2 linked regions of the Styela clava genome follow. Each later gene encodes a partner of the first gene's protein in a complex. Links are inferred from orthologs where the notes say so. Each region holds a gene or a part of one and is shown on either strand. Other genes may lie near its edges. The genes, in order: rab5 GDP/GTP exchange factor-like and ras-related protein Rab-21-like.

Region 1 (10,836 bases):
TTTCTTTCTTGAATAAATTACGCTTTAACTGAGTTAAATAGACGATTTCTCAAATATTTTCATCAAATTGGGGGGAATTTCCCTACTTTCCGCACGGTGGATTTTTTTTAAATTACAATATGTATTTTATATTTGTCCACCAAATACACTGTATTAATGAATTGGATGAGAAAATATTCTTTCTTGCATAAATTATTTTTTAACTAAGTTAAATAGACGATTTCTTAAAAATTTCCATTAAATTGAGGGGAATTTCCCTACTTTCCGCATGGTGGATTTTTTTAAAATTCCGATATCTATTTTATATTTGTCCACCAAACACACTGCATTAATGAATTGGATGAGAAAAAATTCCTTCTTACCTAAATTACGCTTTAACTGAGTCAAATTGACAATTTTCTTATATTTTTTTCTTAAATTGAGGGGAATTTCCCTACTTTCCGCACGGTGGATTTTTTTTAAATTTTAATATGTATTTTATATTTTTCCACCAAATATATTGTATCAATGAATTGGATGAGAAAATATTCTTTCTTGCATAAATTATGCTTTAACTGAGTTGGATAGACGATTTCCTAAATATTTTCATTAAATTGAGGGGAATTTCTCTACTTTCCGCACGGTGGATTTTTTTTTAATTTTAATATCTATTTTATATTTGTCCACCAAACACATTGCAATAATGAATTGGATGAGAAAAAATTCCTTCTTACCTAAATTACGCTTTAACTGAGTTAAATTGGAGATTTCCTATATTTTTTTCTTAAACTGGGGGGAATTTTTCTACTTTCCGCACGGTGGATTTTTTTTAAATTTTAATATGTATTTTATATTTGTCCACCAAATACACTGTATTAATGAATTGGATGAGAAAATATTATTTCCTGCATAAATGACGCTTTAACTGAGTTATATCGACAATTTCTTAAAAATTTTCCTTTAATTGGGGGGTATTTCCCAACTTTCCGCAAAGTGGAATTGTTTTAAAATTTAATATATGTTTTATATATCTTCATCAAATTCACCGTATTAATGAATTGGATGAGAAAAAATTATTTCTTGCATAAATTACGCTTCAACTCAGTTAAATTTTTTGCATCCATGTAGCCGCAATTAAGTGAATTCGCGACAACTGTCGTGGAACATGGCGGGTTCAAATTTGGAAAAATTGGTAACTGTCCGCTTGAAGTGGCCGCTAGCTTTACCCAAAGCGTATATATAATACAATGACATTAAACAACATGATGCGCAACTCCGGCATTTTTGTCCGAAGATCGTATTCGATAGCACGCTCCAATGCACATACTTGACGAGACGAAAACGAGCGGATGTGCGCTGCTTTCAAGGCGTAGCACGAATGGTGTTCGTGCCTGCTTTGACAGTTGTTGTCGATTTTAATGATATTTTTGAAAGTTGGGGTAAAAAGAAATCGGTAAAAGGTAAGGTGAATACTATTGTTGTATATCACACCCGGGCATCGCACTGTTAAGTACATGTGTGAAAGCCAGCCTTTGTCAAATACTACGAAGTTATTAATTCAGTACGGTACGTAGTTGCCCATTTGCCGAAATTACATATTTACTTACCCCTTATGGTTTCAAATAGTTCATGCACCTCCAGTTAGATTTTTTTAACCAGTGAGGATATATACTCATTGTTGATTGCTGCTCATTGTAACATACTATTACGCATTCACTTTTATTTGCGTATTGAATCAAAGTGTTAACAAGTTCACCTAACATTTCACTCATACCGGTCTATATTGTATAGTCTGATTTCTCAAGTATTTGGAGCCACGAATGCTTGTAATTTTCTGACTAAAGCCTTTTATTAGTTGGTTTATATACCAAATTCAGTAAAATATTTTTTAAATAAAACATGAGATATTGGATTTAGTAGCTTTTCCATTCTGAATCATATAGACTGCTTTATTTATTCTTAACGAAAATTAATAAATCTCCTCTCTTTCTTCAGATGTGAAAGTTGTGGACAAACCTGTCTAAGCATTGTGAGACTCTTGCAGCACAAGAGGCAATAGCAGAAATAGTAAGTATATCAATCAAGAAATTAAGCCGACATAAAGCAAAACTTTCAACTATTCGTCTAATCTCAATTTCCTATTATTTATCCACAGGACAACTATAGCAGACGGGGAGATATCAGAAGTCTGGCGACATATCAGTGACAGTGTGATTCCAAGAAATATAATGCATTTGAAAATAGAAAATTGCAATAGAAAAACAACCTATGGAGGCATGCAAAGACATTTGACCCTCCGGTAGAGTTGTGTATGGCCCCCACATCCTGCAGAGCTTGAGGAAAATAACTAAAAATTCCAAAGCGTAAGATTGCATAAGCGGTCTTATTTGTAAAAAGGCACAAAACACGCCAGACATACTTAAAACAGCTTTGGAAATGAGGATTACGGGTACCTCACTGCACCTGTGTTATATTTGGTTCATCAACTTTTGGTAGTACTATAGAAGAAATTCCGGAAGGGGTATATTCATCATTCATGATAAATTACTATCATATATTTTTTGAACAACTTCAATCTAGACCAGGGATCTCAAACTCGCGGCCCCAGAGAACTTCCAGTGCGGCCCTCGAACGTTTAACCATAATTGTAATAGTATTTTGGAAGTTTTTTTTTTTTTATCTAAATGTAATAGATTTTTCAAACCTTCTAAAGTGAAATTGATTATTCACACAGAAAACAATTTACTGAAAGTAGTTTTGGAATATTGATTTTTTTTGTCCACATTTTGACCCAATTAAGAATACACATCAAGCTAGCAAAAGAATACTTGAATAAAACACTTGAGTAATTAAATTAAACGCAAAGTACATGAAGAAGGTGGCATTTTCGAAGAAAATGGGAGTTGTAACATTTCTGCTCTTCACAAAATTCTGAAGCACATTATTTAATTTGTCATATTTCCATCAATACAATCAAAAAACACAATAAGCTCAGCAGTCAATATGACAAATTCGAAGACCAACTTCGAACAGAAAATTTCCATGTGTTTGTATATTAATATAATTATACAACGACTTAGTTACTAAAAATCAATATCAATAATAATTCAAGCAATCCTATGCCACGCAATGTAGTGCGAAATGTCTTGTCGAAAAAATCTGTCATTTGTTTTTTTACTGATCTATACATGAAATGATAAAAGTAACTTTTTTGCATTACTGGAATTAATTAAACATTCGTAAAGATCCAGATAAACCCATGATCATGTGGCCTCGTTAGTTAGAGTTGGTACTATAAAATCATTTCAGACTGGCCTTAGTATGCTGGTGACACAAAAAAGATGCCAAACGCCAGGACAAATGTAATTATTAAAACATTGAGTTTATACTGTAGTATTTTTGTTAATTTTAGGTTCATATATTTAGATTAAGTTATTTTTAGTGTATGTATTATTCTTTCCTTATTCAAAGCTTGTTCAAAAATGATTTTGATGGTTGTACATAGAATTTTACGATTTTTTATAATAAATACTGTAACTTGCAAATGTTGCAATAATAGTGGAATGCAAATATTAATATGTAATTGCATTTGAAATTGAAGAAAATAATAAAACTTAATCCAACTGTTTAGTTGCATCACAATATATGTCACAAACTAAAACTATCTTAAAAATATCTTTTAAGTATACATTATCAAAAACTGTTTGCGGCTCTTTTTACAATTTTCAAAATGCAATGCGGCTCTCGAAAACCCATGAGTTTGACACCACTGATCTATTCTAGACGATTCAAGCATTGCTTTGGGAAATTATATCACTTCAATTAAATTGAAATAATCTCGCTATATTAAATACAAAATCGTTGCTATCATAAAGGTAAACCAATTCAGCCACTCGAAATATACTGGCCTTCACAAAGCAATGGAGGCAAAATTGAGAGTTCATGAGCTATGAACATTTGTTCTTTTCTTTGTCTTGAACTTTCCATACTCCACAGCCCCTATTAATTTTTTTTAATTTTAATTACCATGTGTTGGTCATACATATCTTTAACTTGTATTTTCTGTCATGATGTATTATCTCAATGTGCCAAACTATTAATTAGTGTGCATATTTTGCTTCCAGATGACATAAATGTATTGTCATGTTTATTACCTCAGCTTGGAGTATTGACAAGAAAAAGGTGCCAGTAAATTAGGTAAAAAAATTTTCAACTCATTGTTATAATCAGAATTCACAATCAATAGGAATTATAAACAGCCAACAATCAGTGAGAATTATATGCGAAATCCCTCAGAATAAATTTGTCTAAAATCGGAGGAAGGCAAAAAATATAGGTAGTTTCCATCCACACAAGCATTTCAAGAAGACTTGCTCGAGCCAAACTAAATGAGCATCGTCAGGTGATCGGTAAGGCTGCAAGTTGAATTCAGCCCTGCAACCTCCTGCATAGAAGATAATATTAATTAGTGGGCTATGAGCTAAATTCCTAAATTTAAACAAACCTATCTACGATGCATTATGTACCAGCAATGTTACCTACGATTAACTGAATATGTAATATATCTAATAAATTCACCTACAAAAGCAAGTTCGATAGGTGCAAACTTTGTGTTATGGAATTGTATCGCAGCACAGTTTTGTATGACACCCTCTTTAAATGAAATTTCAATGATTAAGCGCAAACATTAAAATTACTAACTTTGAACTTTGTCATTATCTGCAAAATGTTCCACACAAATCTTTCCGCTATCGCGTTTGTAATCTTCTCTGATAAAAAAAAAACGTCTATGATGTTCAGAATTGCTCTTTACAGCTTGCCTGTTATTCCAGCTTTCCAAGTAAGCAAAACTTCTTAGATATAGAGATTATTTTGTTTCGTTACAGGCGCAAAAAGGCAGGTACTATACGTAAAAAAGACGCCGAGTAGCAGGAGCGAGCGGAAAACGGACGCGAAAGGCGACGAGAAATATGTGCATTGGAGCGTATCATGAAATACAATGTTTTGCCTGTAGTCTTATGGAGTGACGTCAGAGTTGCCTATCATGTTGTTTAATGTCATTGATATAATATAAGCGAGGCAACGCTCAGACAATGGACGCCATCTTGTGCCTATTGTTCTCGGCAATTTAACACGGCGCCTTTTGGGAAGTTTCAACACAATCATTGAAACATACCTATTATTTTCACTAATATTTTGCGTAGAAAAATTTTGAAGGTCGCGTTTTGAAGTAGAATCTTAGCCGTACATGCTTATATCCTTTCATGTTGGCCAAATTACATTTATAGTACATTAAATTGTCTTTGAAGACAAGTATACCGGTTCCGAGTTGCTTCCGAAGTAAATTGGCCATTCTTATCGTCATAATTAACCATTTGACAATGGCGTTCCTTATGACGTCACAGATGAAAAGTTGTATTTTTTCTTCGAAATTACCGGCCGACCCAACTTTGCTTCAATGGCCGTTTCTATTTTCTGGTTGACATTTTTCGGTCGTCAATCTCTCATAATGCCCTACTGCTCAGCTCAAAGCTGCGCTAGAAGAACAAATGACATTGTAGGATTGTTGCGGAGACATTTTACAGCCTCAAATTAGCGTATCACTATGAAATCTTTGGAAATATGACCAAAAATGGTTCTACGCTGTGTTTGGGGTCAAATTTAGCGCATTGGTTAGTTTTTTTTCCTAAATTGCGTTATATATTAAGATAGCATATATCTTAAAGTTCAAAATCCACCCTTCAGTTTCATTCTAGCACTTGTACCAGCGGACTTATTCGATTCGGTACAACAACACGACGAAAATTTTCCATAAGACTCCATTGTTTCGCGTTTCCCAAATATGGCACAAGATGGCGTCCATGAACTTGCTTAACATTAGGCAAGTTGGTTGCCGGCCGTTGGCTTTACCTAGGTTACCGTTCCACGGTAGATATACTGGTTCAGACAAGTTCTGAAGTTAGTTGGAAATTTGACCACGTACCTCATATTTACAGTGCGGTCGATAGGTACCCTATTTAGGGGATTTTTTAGTTGATTGTTGTTCGGGTAGGGTAGTCGGGGTAAGTTTTAGGTTGGCGAACAAGGTTCATACTGCAGTACTGTCATACGGTAGGTACCGGTACCTAACCTACGGCAGAGTGGTCCAAACCCAGGCGTCATTATCTGTGGCCCGCGTCGCCTTTGCTGAAGGGTAGCCTAATCGAAAAATCGCATTTAGTGTTGTTTCGAGGGAAATTTTGCTTTGAGAACCTCGTTGTTCGAGCACTTACATTTGCGGGAGCACTTTCTCTGTTACTGCTTTATGAAGAGTTTGAAATCTTACATTAAATGTAAATATAGCTAAACTTTTGCATGTTTCAGTGATTTTTCTGGCGTATTTTGTATGATTTAGCTTGATAAATGAAAAACAAGGATCAATCGTTTGCACAATAAAAGCATTTGTTGTTTACATATTTTTACTGCTATTGTGTCCCGCGAACAATGCAAAAATATTTTTGTGGTCCGGGAAGGCGACAACCTTGGACCACCCTGACCTACTGTATGACTGCGCCGTCATGATATTACATTATTCAGGTAATAACGTACCGGTAGGTGCGGTACCTACTGTACAGTACGGTACCTATCTTTTAAAGTTTGCTGTAGAAATAGGATAATATTGTAATACTTTCACTGTATCACGCAAATTGGCAATATCCTGCTATCATTCAAATGTTCTCAGCATTGTAGTTCAGATTTCAGGAGTTTTTTACTGAATTAAGTAATGACTTCAATAAAATCACTTGGCAGTAGAAAAGGAATACATCTTGACCAAGCAGAATTGCTTTGTAGAAATGGATGTGGATTCTATGGAAATTATGCATGGAAGGTATAACCTAACTAAATATTGCAATATTGATTGCTTCACTGTACTGCTGTAGGCCTTTTAGTTATTATAAATTGCCAGAGTCAGAAGATTGAATTTTTCTGTTTCTCAATCTTTTAATTACAAATGACAGTAGCGGGTTTTGCCCACCATAGGATAATCTTGAATAAAAATGTAATATTGTCTTAATAGTATTGGCCGCATGTTCACTAAACGCCATAAGTACTACTAGATGGCGTGGTACAAACATTTTTGCATATAGTATTCCTAACCCCCACCTAACTACGTCATCGAAAAATTGCGTCACTACGACATCACAATCACAACATAGAGCTTGCCAAATAAAAGCCATGATTGCCCGAAATGGCATATTCTCTTTTCATTTGCAGGGATATTGTTCCAAGTGTTGGAGGGAACATTATCAATCACAAAAACAGTTACAAATTGATCAAGATCATGAATTAGCAAAAAAACTTCAAGAGCAGGAAAATAAAGCTGTGACTTCCCCCATTGCTAACAGTCCTGCTCAGATATCACACACACCTACCACCCCACCAACTTCTACTGCACAGAGTGAAAGCACTTTTGCTAGGTGGGTTAGCCAGCCGCAACTATTTATATGTGATATTCATTGACTGTGATTATTCAATTTATTATTTCTTTTTAGCTTTTTTTTGCATAGCATGCTCATGCCTCAAATTTTCAGAATTCTTGTTTTTGATGTAAATATGTTTCAATTCAATGGATTGATCTCTGCTGTTTGAAATCTCATCCAATTCATTATTCATGATAATGCTGATTGATACTTTATTAATTGATATATTATAATTAGCAGTTTCATAAATTAGTTAAAAACTGAGGGGAAATTAAATCTTACCAAATTGAAATTTGAGGCATAGAGGTTATAGATGGTTATTTGGCAGTTACTCGATACATACTTTTTGTTACTACATGTAATGCTGCTTATTTCATATTATAGCAAGAAAGTTGTTTGGTAGAAATTGGAAACTGACTTATGGTACATACATCAGTGTCGCCCATAACCATTTATATATATTATAATAACAATAACATCAAGAAATTGATATGGTATAGCTTATAAAAAGCATTAAATATCATTAAATTGTATTTTATGTTTTTGAATTTTTATTTGTTTTCATTTAATAACTGAGTTTATAACCCTGTAAAAACTAAATTACCCTCTTCCATTTCTGTTATATTCATTGGCATTATAAAATGTGCCCGTCAATTTTGCGTTTTAAATTAAATATTGATTATTTAATGATGATCAATATTGAATTGACAGTCACATGACTATTCAGGAATTTGCTACCTTGATCTGATTTAACATTAGGTATTACTTCTATTATTCATCCTGTATGTATAACCTCATTCTACTGCTTTAGTATTATCTTCATGGACCGAAATATAAAAACTGGATAGCTTCAATAACCATATAGTTGATAAATTGAGTTATATTACCACTGTCATTGTTCCAAGAAAAGGCTCTTTTGATGTGGTCTATGTTCCACAAAATCGCATTACATACATAAAGCATATTCACATTTCTGCAGCATGAATTGTTAATTTCTTACATCTTGGATTTTTGGTGCATATACAGTTATTGTTATGAAGTTGTTTTCTAAAAATTCCAAAAGCATTCAATGTAATTTAGCAGCACCTTCTCCAAATTTGAGGATAAGAAAAATCGTACAAGACAGAGCTTGAAAAAACTTTTCACCCCGAGTCCGAATCATGAAGATAACAGTCCAACAAATGCAGTGTCTCCTAGAAATAATTCGGCACAAAAACAATCCCCGTCTCGTGCCGCAACATTTCTAACACCAATCTCACGGAAATCACCTGATAGCAGTCGAAAAATTTTGCTGAGTAAGTTATTTCAAATGGTGACCGTACATTTGAACCCATGTACATTTGAACCCATGCGTATATCCACGGGTTCAATCTATATGCGGGTGCTAAAACCCATGGGTTTAACTATCCGTGAAACAAAAAAAATTCCATAGGTGCAATAGCATACAGGTGCAATTGTCATGGGTTCAAATGTACGTGGGTTCAAATGTAATGGAACCATTTCAAATTTCCCATTTTTACATTTAATAACTAAGCGTTCGTTATCAATGTGTGTTCATTAAGCAGTTCCAATTGAGCATATTATTTAATCAGACTATAATAGATTAATTATTTTAAGGGGCTTTTTGGTACTCACAAATAGGCATACTTATGCAGTCATTCGACAAGAGTTGTTTCGTATTTGCATTGGACATTGCATGCAAAGATGCATATGCCCGAAGGGTTGACTCCAAACTCAAGTCCAGATAGTGGGAAGACTATAGATGTATATAGACCAGCTGTGCATATATATTGATGACTTTTTGAGCTTGTTATTCGTTCAATTCCAATGTGATTATTTTATACTTTACTGATTGTGAGAGATTTATTTAGGGCAAGATAGAACAAGTATGGGATGGCTGTCTTCTGCAACTCATGAAAGACAACAGAGCTATGAAAGTAAGCAAGCATCACACGATTTTATGGAATTTATAAAAGCATTCAATGAACCAGCTGCCAAAGATGTCATGAAACAATGTAGATCATTCATGGAAAAACTCGTAGTAAACAGAGTAAGTTTGATTCTATTTTTATCAGCCAATGCTTCCAGCTCATGCTTCCATTCTTTTGGTTTGATTTTGAACAGAATTTCGATTTGTTCATATATCTGAAGTTCATCCTTTGAATATGAAATAATTTGATGTATTTATTTGTGCATCATGTATGCGGTGAATGGGAAAGGGTAATTTTTAACAATATAATATATATTGCAAATCATTTTTCAATTCGCTTGATTCACTACGGATGTTCGATATCTTTCCATACGTTGTACTCACGAACATATCCCACTGTTTGACAAAATTTTTTTTAAAGCCATACATATTAGGAATTTACGTTCTGATTTTTCTTTTTCAAGTGATCACATGTTTGTTTGTGTTAAATGATTTGGAGGTATGTTTATCCTTCCTCTCATCGGCACCAGTAGTGCTGACTGCTATTTAGCCTACTTTGTATTGGCATTTGGCACATCATTCCAAATAACAATTTGTAATTACCATTGTGTGTTATTGAAATTGTCAAAGTTTAACATCAACTTGTAATTTTGATCCACAATTTATTTGCCATTGTAATAACTAGTATAACAATATTGACGGTCTGAATTTGTCAGTGTGAATTTCCATTCAAAATGTTGATCAAATATATTCAATTGTTGTTCCAGGAAATGTCGGTTGAAGAGCAGTCAGAACTTGTACAGGATTTTTATCAGTCGATGGCAGATAGGCTTACGACTCATCCTGTGTTTAGTAGTTATTCATCGGAAAAAGACCAGGAGGGAATTATGGATAATGTGGAAAAATTTTTAATGACAAGATTGTACAGAAGTATATTTTGTAGCGATCACACAGACGATGAAAGTCAAGATTTGGCAGTACAGGTGCATGGCATACTTCAACTTTTTCTTTGTTTGTTTCAGGTGACTGTTACTATAGTTATACAATAGTTATACAACTGTTATCAGATTTGCGTGTGCTGGCAAGCCTTGCATAGTAGATAGTATAGGATTTTCATATTTATTTCGGGGAGTAAAATGACAATAAGACTGCCTAATCATATGGTTTACTACGGCCTATCATCTGGACTACTTGAATACTGCGATATTCTTGATGATTAGGAGAAAACATTACTATCAATAAGAAGTTATGAGAAGTCATATATAATTATTTTGTTTTGTAGAAAAAGATTCGAAGTTTGCATTGGATTACAACAGAAATGTTAGATGCTCAACTGAATGAGGAAAGGGTAGATGCTGCTGCTGCTATTGATAAAGCTATAACTGGTATTTTTTCGATAAATAAATATATGTTTCATGTTTTTTAGGAATGCTTTGTAAAATTCTGTTGTAATTTATGATAATTAAG
Region 2 (10,046 bases), on another chromosome or scaffold:
AGGGCGTGCAGAATTTATATGAGTATTTGACTACCTTACAAACGAAAACAAACTTACCCAAATATAAATTACCGAACGTTTAGTGCAATGCCCCATGTACAAAATATTAGATTCACTTTCAAAACAAAACATGATTAAAAATTTTACACTCTATTTATTTAGGATTAAGAGACGAAAACATGGGTTTATTATAATTTTTCGCATAAAATGTGATAAATTTTCTCAGAGTCGCGTAATCTTATCTAAAATAGCGACTACTGAATGGAAATCTTAACTAATACGGAATATGTAACATATTACCGATTAAACTTACAGACAGTCACAATGAACTTACCACAGCTAGTTCTTTCTTAAATTTTTGGTTCTGAACGTTGACCCTGTTTGCTGTTAAAATGCTCCTCTCTTCTGGATTAATGGAAGACCACCCTTCTGGGCCATATCTTAATTTTACAGAAGCCGACATGCCGGCCAGAGTAAACTACGGGCATTCGAGTGTATTATACTTCTAGTATCACATTGTCAAGGTTACAGCAAATTAATTGCAATTATGATGTCAGAATGTAACGAATTTGGCCTCTGCAGCAGAGCTGCCACGTCAGATGTTTTATAGCTAGATCTGCTAGATGTTTTGTTCAAGATCAGGATGTACAATTTGGAGTCTAGATGTTAGCTATAAAATATGATACTTTTTTTCAACGTTCCAAATAATATCTGGTGGGAAATAAAAATGCGATGTATATAATTGTTAAACGAATAGTACTGTATTTAGAATTAGATGTAAGATTGATGAAACTTGAATCATATGCCTGATTTAGATGTTTTTTAAGGTCAATCTAGTTATTCTAGATGGTTTTATTCAGACAAAAGTGGCAGCCCTGCCCTGCAGTCTGCAGAGTAATTTAGCATTTATGATAGGCAGATCCACCCAAGGAAATTCTTTGCAAATTCAAACTTTGTACAGCATAATCAATACGACCAGTCGACCATACAATTTTATTTCGATCTTCCGTCTATAGCAAAGAACAAAAAAAAATCACACACAATAGCGACGAAAATATCGGGAAAATAAGCCACACAGGTGAAAACATATATCACCACAATCTTACTGAAGAGAATAAAATGAATTATGTGACGGTGCATGTTGCGAAATGCGAATTACAATAATAACAACTACAAAACTAAGGGATAATCGAATTCATAGTGTTTTTCATTGATGTTGGCGACTTCCTTGTTGAGGCTTATCACCTAATCGACTCAGATATCAAAGGAGACTATTCAAGGAAAAATTTAGGTCTAAAGTCAAAACATTCCGAAAACGTGCGATTGGTGGTCAGTCACATGCTCACGACGTCATCTTTCACAATATTTCCGGCTGAGTGATCTGTCAGTTCATAAATCTATCTTGCTGCTTCGGGCTGAATGTTCGTACCGTACTGTCATAGAGTTACTGAGTTATGATATCCCTATATTTATAATACGTTTTAAATTAGTAAAGAATGCAATGTCACTATAATTACGGTATGTAGTAAAAAACATATCCACAATGTTAGGTTAACTAGTTCTGTAATTAGCGACGTGGTGCCATTATAATTCAGTAATTGCTGAATTGTGTACCGGTAGTGCGACACATAAAATTTTAGCTACTAAACCTGAAAACTGCAAAAAGATGCCCTAATTTTTAAAGTATGTGAATGCAGAAATGTTAATGAACAGATGAAGTTGAATCCATACATAAGACTGTAAGAGATTGTATAGCAAGACCAAATACTGAAATATGAAGGAAATTAGGTTAGCTCATACGTGTATTGGGAAATTGGGTCTAGTATAGTTTAGTACCACAAGTACTTCCAGTGGGCGTAGCATAACGATTTTCGCATATGTTATTCCTAACCCTCACCTGAATATGCCATTCAAAAATTACGTCACTATGACGTCACCATCACTTCATAGGGATTGCCAAAGTATAATTAAAATCGCCCGAAATGACATCTGCGCCGTCGATAAGAACTTGCTAAAGCCGGCGATCTCTCTCCTATCGAGATCGTTGCGACGAGAAAACGAGAGAAATAGCTTGCTCGATTTCGGGTTTTCGTCTGCGCGTTTTGGACGACCATCCGCATACTTCGGTGGGCCTTATTACGCCACTGTGACGTCGGAATGACGTAATTTTTCGGTGACGTTGTCAGGTGGGGGTTAGGATTGACATATGCAAAAATTGTTGAGCCAGGCCAACTAGAAGTGGATGTGGTACTAAACTATACCAGACCCGGGAAATTTTACTCCATGACCACTAAGCAGCAGTAGACTACTGTCTGACTGGACTATACATTTAGAGGGATAATTACATTGTTTTAATTTAATTTATGCCCTCTCTGTTCTTGACTTGATACAGCAGTAGAGATACTGATGGCAGTATGATCACATTATACCTGTATACCAGTATACTGTTATAACTGGTGATAATAATGCATATCAATTCCCGCAACATTCTGACATTTATGAATTTCATTTTACTATGTTATGACATTTAGTCTGCATGTTTTTCTTACTTGTTTATCAGTCTGTTGGATATTCCATGTTGTGAAATACAATTTTTACTGCTGTGTTGTTTTGTGTGAGCTGGTTCCTAGTTTAGGAAATGCTCCTTAGTTTCCTTTGTTAATAGGGCTGTTCACCATAATTTCATGTAAATGATCTAATCACTGAATTAATATAGGTAAGATTTCGACTCTGTAAACCCATGTTAACAGTATCAATGTAAAAGACCTAAAGTTATAGTAATTTACATCTTGATACAAATTTTATTTGTACAGTACAGTATTATTCCTCCAATGTTTAATGAAGTTCATTATTTGACATCTCAATTCCATGCAACACTCTATGCTAAAGGTTTAGATCAGTGGTCCCCAAACTGGGGTCCGCGGACCTTTTGGGGTCCTTGAAGCACTTTCGGAGGGTCCGCAAAAGAAATCTGTTATATGGCTCATAGCTCAATAATACAAAAATTAGGTGCTTAAATTTGCAAATACACATTTGTCGCCTTTTGCTGCATCGCAATCACTGCTGGAGACAGTGATTTCTCACTTTCGGTATTGACCACGCTGCCCCATTGTTGTTATGTAAGCTGTAAGCCTGTGATAGCTGTCTTTACAAGTTAACTAACTGCAGAGGTGTAGCTGATGCTGCCTTTTGCATGTTTGTTGGTATAGGAGGGAGTTTCAGTAGGCAGTTTAGTTATGTCAGTTTGCTTTTAAATGCTGTTTTACAATAAAACAAGTGCACCCATCCCATTAAACTTCTCCATATACTTTTGTTCGTTTCAGCGTTTTCCATTATACGACGTATTGATTTTTGTTTTAGTGCACAAGGCTGTGAATCATTAAAAAAATTGCAAGGGCCCGCCATGGAATATTTTTAAAAAAGTTTGGGAACCACTGGTTTAGATCATTTGGGTTCTATTCTAGCTTGAAAATGTATTAATTCCAGTTAAGAATGACTAATAGATTCCATGCTTTGGACATGTACTAATATGATTCATTAAATAGTCTTGTTTGCTTTTCATATCATGTACAAACCATGAATGGGACCTGTTAAAATTTTGTGTAGAAAACATCTGTCAATCTCACCTTGTAATTTATAATAACAAAAGCCATATTTATCTCAATACAAGCGAATTATATCATACAATCTTTGAGGAAGTAAATATAAATATCACCTGATCAAATTCTAAGTTATTTTTCCTTGATGTTATTGTTAATGTTGTGTGTATATAGTAGTTACAAGTAGTACAATATAATATACAATCATCTTTACGACTGTAATTATTGTAATGGATATTACAATATTGATATGGATATAATTATTGTGTTATATATTTCCCAATATTCTATAGATATATTCTAATTAATATTTATGTATATAAGAAGCTAATATTTAGTTATTATGGTGTTTCGATTAGGAAAGCTTGTTGCTGTTGTAACTGGTGGGAGTACTGGCCTTGGTCTTGCCACTGCTCAACGAATTGTTAAGCAAGGTGGAAAAGTAACCATTATTGACCGCTCGGAATCTAGAGGTATTGAAGCTGTGGAACAATTGGGAAAAGATAATTGTGCATTCTGTCCTTGTGATGTCACAAACACAGAAGATTTATCAGAAGCAGTTGATTTAACATTAGCAAGATTTGATGCTGTGCATGTACTTGTAAATTGTGTTGGGACGTCAACATCCCGTGCAGTATATAATATTGGCCGCGATTTACCCCATCCATTAGATTTGTTCCAAGAAATATTGGATACTAATATTATGGGCACTTTTAATGCCATTCGCTGCTTTGTACCAGAGATGGCAAAAAATGAACCTGACGAAGACGGCCAGCGAGGTGTGATTATTAATACCTCTAGTACCTTTGCATTCTGTGGTCAAAGAAGCCACATTTCTCATTCAACTAGTAAAGCAGCTGTTGCTGCTATGACTTTGCCTCTTGCGAGAGAATTAGGCAAGCAAGGAATCAGAACTGTCGCCATTGCTCCTGGATATTTCAGTACTCCAAATATTATGACAATTCCTGAGAATATTCAGAAGTTGATTTCACATCAAAATCTATACCCAAGTAGATTAGGTAATCCTGATGAATATGCTATGTTAGCACAGTCTATCATTGAGAACACATTTATCAATGGCACTATTATAAAATTAGATGGTGCCTTGAGATCTCTATATTCGTAATAGCCTAGCTCAGCAGTTCCCAAACTTTTTGTTCGCGCGCACCATTTTTATCAGAGAAAAAAACTCACGGTGCACTTACACGAAAAAAAAATGCTGCCTCCAAACAAAACTCAATTTTGTGATCGTTAATGCGTACTTTATGCCTTTCAAAGTTTGTAAACATGTGGGTCTATGCAATATCATTTGAAATGCTAAAAAAATCACTCATGTTCGCTAAACTCGATTCAGCAGTTAAAAGGAATGTAGATCACGAAATTCCAGCAAATAGTGGTTACCTATATTGTTACGTAACGGCAGACAATAAGTAACACAAAGTAAACGACATAGAAAGGTGAAATGAATTTATTGATTCATATGCACAGCATTTGGAAGAAGAAACAATTGAACATTTAAAATAAATACAATATAATATTCAATCATATTTCAGTTATGTTCATCACAATTCTGTTAGTTTTCGCGGCGCACCTTTTGGGAACCGCTGGCCTAGCTGTTGAAGCGCAGCAGTGTTAGCATAGAAAATTTGTGTTCAAATCCCGATATTCCGGTTCTTAAATAGTAAGTCCTCACATATAGTTAGATATCAATGGCTGCTTGTACAAGCCTTGTTCAAATCAACATGCATGAATAAATGTCATATAAAAAAAATTTTACACACTCGATGCATCCATTCAAAGTGAATATATTATGTGTGGTAATTGATGATTCACATACTATATGATTTTGAAATTCAAAATCCATGAACGTTCGTGTCGTCTGTTCATTCTGCGATTAAAAAAACAGGAAATTTTCATATTTCAATATCTTGAACTCAATCAACCAAATCTATTTCACTTTATACTGTTTGAATGTGGCATAATTTTCAATTGTGTGTTCTTGAATTCCTTTGATACTGCCAATCAATCTTTTTTATTTCCACTGCTATTTTTCTTTAGATTTAATATATTTCATAAATAGATAATAGCCTGGTTTGACTTCTTCTATTTGTTGTATATGCAAATTTTTGTCATTGTTTCAAAATAAGAAATCTGATATTTGCTTTTTGCAAGTGCGCTCCACCCATAGGGTAAAATAAGGAGCCAAAAATGGGCTCGAGGACGACAAATTTTAAAGTTGTCCTGCTTGGTGAAGGATGTGTTGGAAAAACATCTCTAGTCTTACGATACTGTGAAGATAAATTTAATGACAAACATATTACCACCCTACAGGTATACTTTTCTGATCATAATCCTAACATTATGAAGTTGGTTAGGGTATATATAATTTTATTTAGGATTATAGAGTCTCCGAAAGATTTTTCATTCAAGTTTTTTATGACTAATAGAGCTGTAAGGAACGGCACTCCACATAGCAGAAACCTTTAGGAAAATAACTTTTACCATAAATTACTTCTTTAAAACATGATTTTGATTTCATTAAAAGCATGTATGCTATATATTTATTTAATCCTATTTGCTGTTGTAGCAATCAGCAAATTTGTGCAAAAGAAATATGTAACATTTTGCTAATGTATTAAAAACTTAATAATAAATTGTTTCTTTTTAGGCATCTTTCTTGAATAAGAAATTAAATGTTGGTGGAAAACGTGTCAATCTCTCAATATGGGTAAATATCATGGAGTACTTTATAAGAAAAACTTGATTTGACTGAAAATTAATAACAAAGAAATGCAGATATGCTAAAAACAGTTGCATATTTTTATTGTGGTATTTAATACGATGAAATTTTATAAGATACCTAATTTGTTTCAATAGCTGTGTATTCAACTGAAACCAATCTGTAATCTGTTGAACTAACTAAACTGTGTTACCAAAATATTGTTCCTATATTTTACGTTTGCTATTCAAATTCTTGGGTTAGGGTAGAATTACCATTTTTTGCTAGCCACGGCCTTTCATCTGGTTACGTACTTACCAGTCAAGGTTGCGAAGAGTTAACCAGTTGTTCGTTTCACATGCATGGACTTGATGATGTAAGGCCGATTACTTGAACCACCCAATGACAGTGTGGATTCCACAATATTTTCATACATAATTATAACCCACAAGATATCTGAACAAGCGGAACTCGTTTATATTCCACAGCAAGTGTGTTCATTATACTTCGCATAGCAACACAACTGTTGAGCCGGTTATTACGCAACAGTTAAATTTTGCTTCAATACACTTACTTCATGCCTGAGTGACTTTTATGATTGTTCTCTCAACAGGATACTGCAGGACAAGAAAGGTTCCATGCACTCGGTCCAATATACTACAGAGACAGTAATGGTGCAATATTAGTTTATGATATCACAGATGAAGACTCTTTTCAGAAGGTATAACATTCCAATGTATTGATAAACGCTTTTGTGCAGTGGTTCCCGACCTTTTACGGCTCGTGGCTCCCTTTCGGAGGATTTCATCACTCATGGCTCCCTGTTTATCATTCCAGTGGTCTTAATAGTGCTAATTTGATTGGTAGATTCCAAATCCCATTATATTCAAACAATTCATGCTCAACAACTTGAAAACACCTCATCCAGAAATGAAACTAAGAAGAACGGGGAGTTTTCTTGTCAAGATAAATGTAAAATCTGTTTTGCGCGTAGCATTATGGCCTCCCTTCAACTGCTCTGTGGCCTCCTCAGGGAGCCAAGGGTCCGCGGTTGAGAACCGCTGACTTAGTTTACTACTATATGTTCACAACAGGCTTGTACCCTTTGAGTAAAAAAGTTGAATTTGAATTATTGTGAGCTTACATAAATAATTCTAAAATAATTGGTAGTTTGTGATCATTTCAAAGAATGATCAAGCGTAATTGTTACATATTTGTGATTGTCAACTGTTTGGCATAATTACCTATCGATGATAATAGTTTAAAAGGCCTCGGGATCGATTCCTTCCACTTCACCAAGAGTGCTCTCTTTTAAGTTAATGATTGCTGATATAGAACTTCTTTCAGAGTAAAGTGTGTAAAACATATTAGTTAAAACTTGCCCAAGTATCTCGCGAATATATTTCGATTGACTAGGATCATTGTCAATGTACTTATTAAAGTGACAAATAATCAGAATTTTGTTTGTTTTTGAAATCAAGGTTAAAAACTGGGTGAAAGAACTCAGAAAAATGTTGGGAGAAGACATTAGTTTAGTAATCGCAGGTATGAACTGTTTTGTTTGATTTAAGATTTCTATTTTGTCTAGATAGCCTTGCATAGTTCTTGTTTCGTATACCAAGATAATAGTAGTAGCCTATAGTTTTTGCCACTGTTTCCGCATATTATCTAAAATAATATTTTTTAAAATGGAGTAGGATATTCTATATATTACTCTAAATCGTGTCATGCCAACAGAGAATTTATAAAAGGCAATGAATATGATATCCAATGAGTTTGAATTTCCCTCTCAAGTCTCCCTCTAAAAACATGGAAAATCTTTATGTGTTAGTGGCTAATGAGTCTAGCTCATCATGGAGGTGTGCAAATACCCCATAAAAATGTTTTACTCAGTTATATCGAAGCTGTTTGTCAAGATTATTCCTGTCTGACTTTCAATGTCTGTAATTAGCAGTTTATACCACATTCTATCAACAAAAGCACTTTGCTTTCTGTATGATGATATTATATTATATAGTCATCCTCAGAAGATAAGGACCAATAAGAATGCCTATTATATGTCAAACCATCAGTATAAATTATATATACTATAAAGAAACATTCAGAATAGTTAACAATTTTACAATAATCCTTCATTTAATAGGAAATAAAATTGATTTGGAAAAAGATCGCCACGTAACAGTATCGGATGCAGAAGCATACGCGGCATCTGTTGGAGCAAAACATATACATACTAGTGCAAAACAGAATAAAGGAATTGAAGAACTATTTCTAACTTTAACTAAACGTAAGTTTTTGGTTCATAATGGACGCAAATATTGTGTGTCTTGTTACGATTTAGAAATAGCTCGAAAGTTTGTGGTAAATTGTATGCTAAACTGCTGCCTCTTCAATAGTTAGCCTACTTGTCATGTTCGAGATGAGAATACAGCGTTCTGAATGCATCTCAACAAAGATGGATTAGCGTGCCTTACTTTTATTGCCAGAATAGTTTCATGAAGTTACATGAGATGGGGAGCCGACGGGCCGAGAAATCTTAGTGGCTCCAGCTCCTAACCATCGAACTATTTTTTATGTTTATAATTTTTCAATACTTCGTAAAAAATATTTAATCCATCCTTTTTCAACTTAATTACTAGTAATAATTTTTAAGTTTATTCTTAAAATTTGATTCACTTGTATCATATCGTTATACATTTGGACTGATGTTTCATGGTGGAGGGCAGACCAAAGTACAAATTAAGTTTGATTATACTGTTTCTTCAGAACAACTCCCCAGCTCTGGTTACAATTATCTTTTAAATCACAAGTGACATATTACATTGCAGATTTGGTAAAGCCTAAGTCAATTTAATTGCAGGTATGTTGGAGACACAACAGACAACAAACACCGGTTCACAAATGGCTGGGAGTTCGGCATCAACCCGAAATGCGAGTCGGAGGGGTGTTGTCGTTGTAAGTGATGAAGAGGCCGCAGCTCAACAACCAAAATCAGGAGGATGTTGCGGAGGAAGCGGAGATTCATAAATTTTGAACGACTGTTGATCAATGACTGTCAACATCTATACAGATACCTGCATGGACTTGATAGATATTACTGTGACATCTTGCATGCAAAATATCTACATTGATCTGATCCAAGTATCATGAGACATAACACTCAATCCTCATTACATGCACTTTTCAGCAGTTCTTGTTAATTTCCTGTTATCCACAAATCAATACTACTAATCAGAGCTGAGAAAGCTCCATACTCTGAGCCAACATCCAGCTGATGGCAATTTTGACTCAGTTTACAGTTCCGAACAATGAAAACACCAAATTTTGTTTGAAACCTTTTCATATGCAAGCATTCTATCATTATCTATCTAGAATTCTCAAATCAACTTTGATTATTGAATATTTTCACTTCGCTCATAACCATTAGAAGTTTGACTAAAATTTTGAGTTTCCATCTCCACAGTTATTTTTCTTTTTGCTCCAAAATCCTGAAGGGACTCATATTTATATGGCATGAATAAATCATGCTGTCTTATTAGATATTTGAAGTTTTGGTATGATTGGGAATCGAAGTTGTGACTAATTCCCTATCTATTTATTATGAAAAGTTGTTAATTTTAAGTGTATATAAACATCAGTGATTTTCCTTAATTCAAAACGCATCTGATTTGAATTCCTGCCTATGTTTTAGGTTGAAAATATCCCAAATGGGAGGTTTTTCTGAAAAT

Evidence for each region.
Region 2: the proteins of rab5 GDP/GTP exchange factor-like (region 1) and ras-related protein Rab-21-like are in contact, whole or in part, in a crystal structure (PDB 2OT3), measured with the Homo sapiens proteins. The link is inferred for Styela clava from reciprocal best matches to the Homo sapiens genes RABGEF1 and RAB21. Residues at the interface, in NP_001273991.1 of Homo sapiens: Leu253, Cys254, Lys296, Phe299, Asn300, Lys303, Pro309, Ala310, Ser311, Ala312, Asp313, Phe315, Leu316, Pro317, Ile320, Leu347, Met348, Thr349, Gly350, Glu351, Gly353, Tyr354, Tyr355, Thr357, Asn358, Cys360, Cys361, Ala364, Phe365, Ser373; in NP_055814.1 of Homo sapiens: Ser19, Phe20, Lys21, Gly26, Glu27, Gly28, Lys32, Thr33, Leu37, Thr50, Thr51, Leu52, Gln53, Ala54, Ser55, Phe56, Ala71, Trp73, Asp74, Thr75, Ala76, Gly77, Gln78, Arg80, Phe81, Leu84, Ile87, Tyr88, Asp91.

The regions. Positions count from the first base shown.
Region 1 is NC_135257.1:5,263,215-5,274,050, reverse strand, and holds the start of rab5 GDP/GTP exchange factor-like, read left to right. Parts: upstream 1-6,307; 5' UTR 6,308-6,742; coding exon 6,743-6,847; intron 6,848-7,233; coding exon 7,234-7,436; intron 7,437-8,519; coding exon 8,520-8,734; intron 8,735-9,310; coding exon 9,311-9,489; intron 9,490-10,136; coding exon 10,137-10,352; intron 10,353-10,651; coding exon 10,652-10,754; intron 10,755-10,836. UniProt on the Homo sapiens protein: Rab effector protein acting as linker between gamma-adaptin, RAB4A or RAB5A. Involved in endocytic membrane fusion and membrane trafficking of recycling endosomes. Stimulates nucleotide exchange on RAB5A. Can act as a ubiquitin ligase.
Region 2 is NC_135255.1:9,326,460-9,336,505, reverse strand, and holds the start of ras-related protein Rab-21-like, read left to right. Parts: upstream 1-5,665; 5' UTR 5,666-5,807; coding exon 5,808-5,930; intron 5,931-6,267; coding exon 6,268-6,327; intron 6,328-6,931; coding exon 6,932-7,039; intron 7,040-7,799; coding exon 7,800-7,863; intron 7,864-8,461; coding exon 8,462-8,605; intron 8,606-9,178; coding exon 9,179-9,345; 3' UTR 9,346-10,046. Other genes in the region: uncharacterized protein LOC120331767, read right to left, coding at 335-463. UniProt on the Homo sapiens protein: The small GTPases Rab are key regulators of intracellular membrane trafficking, from the formation of transport vesicles to their fusion with membranes.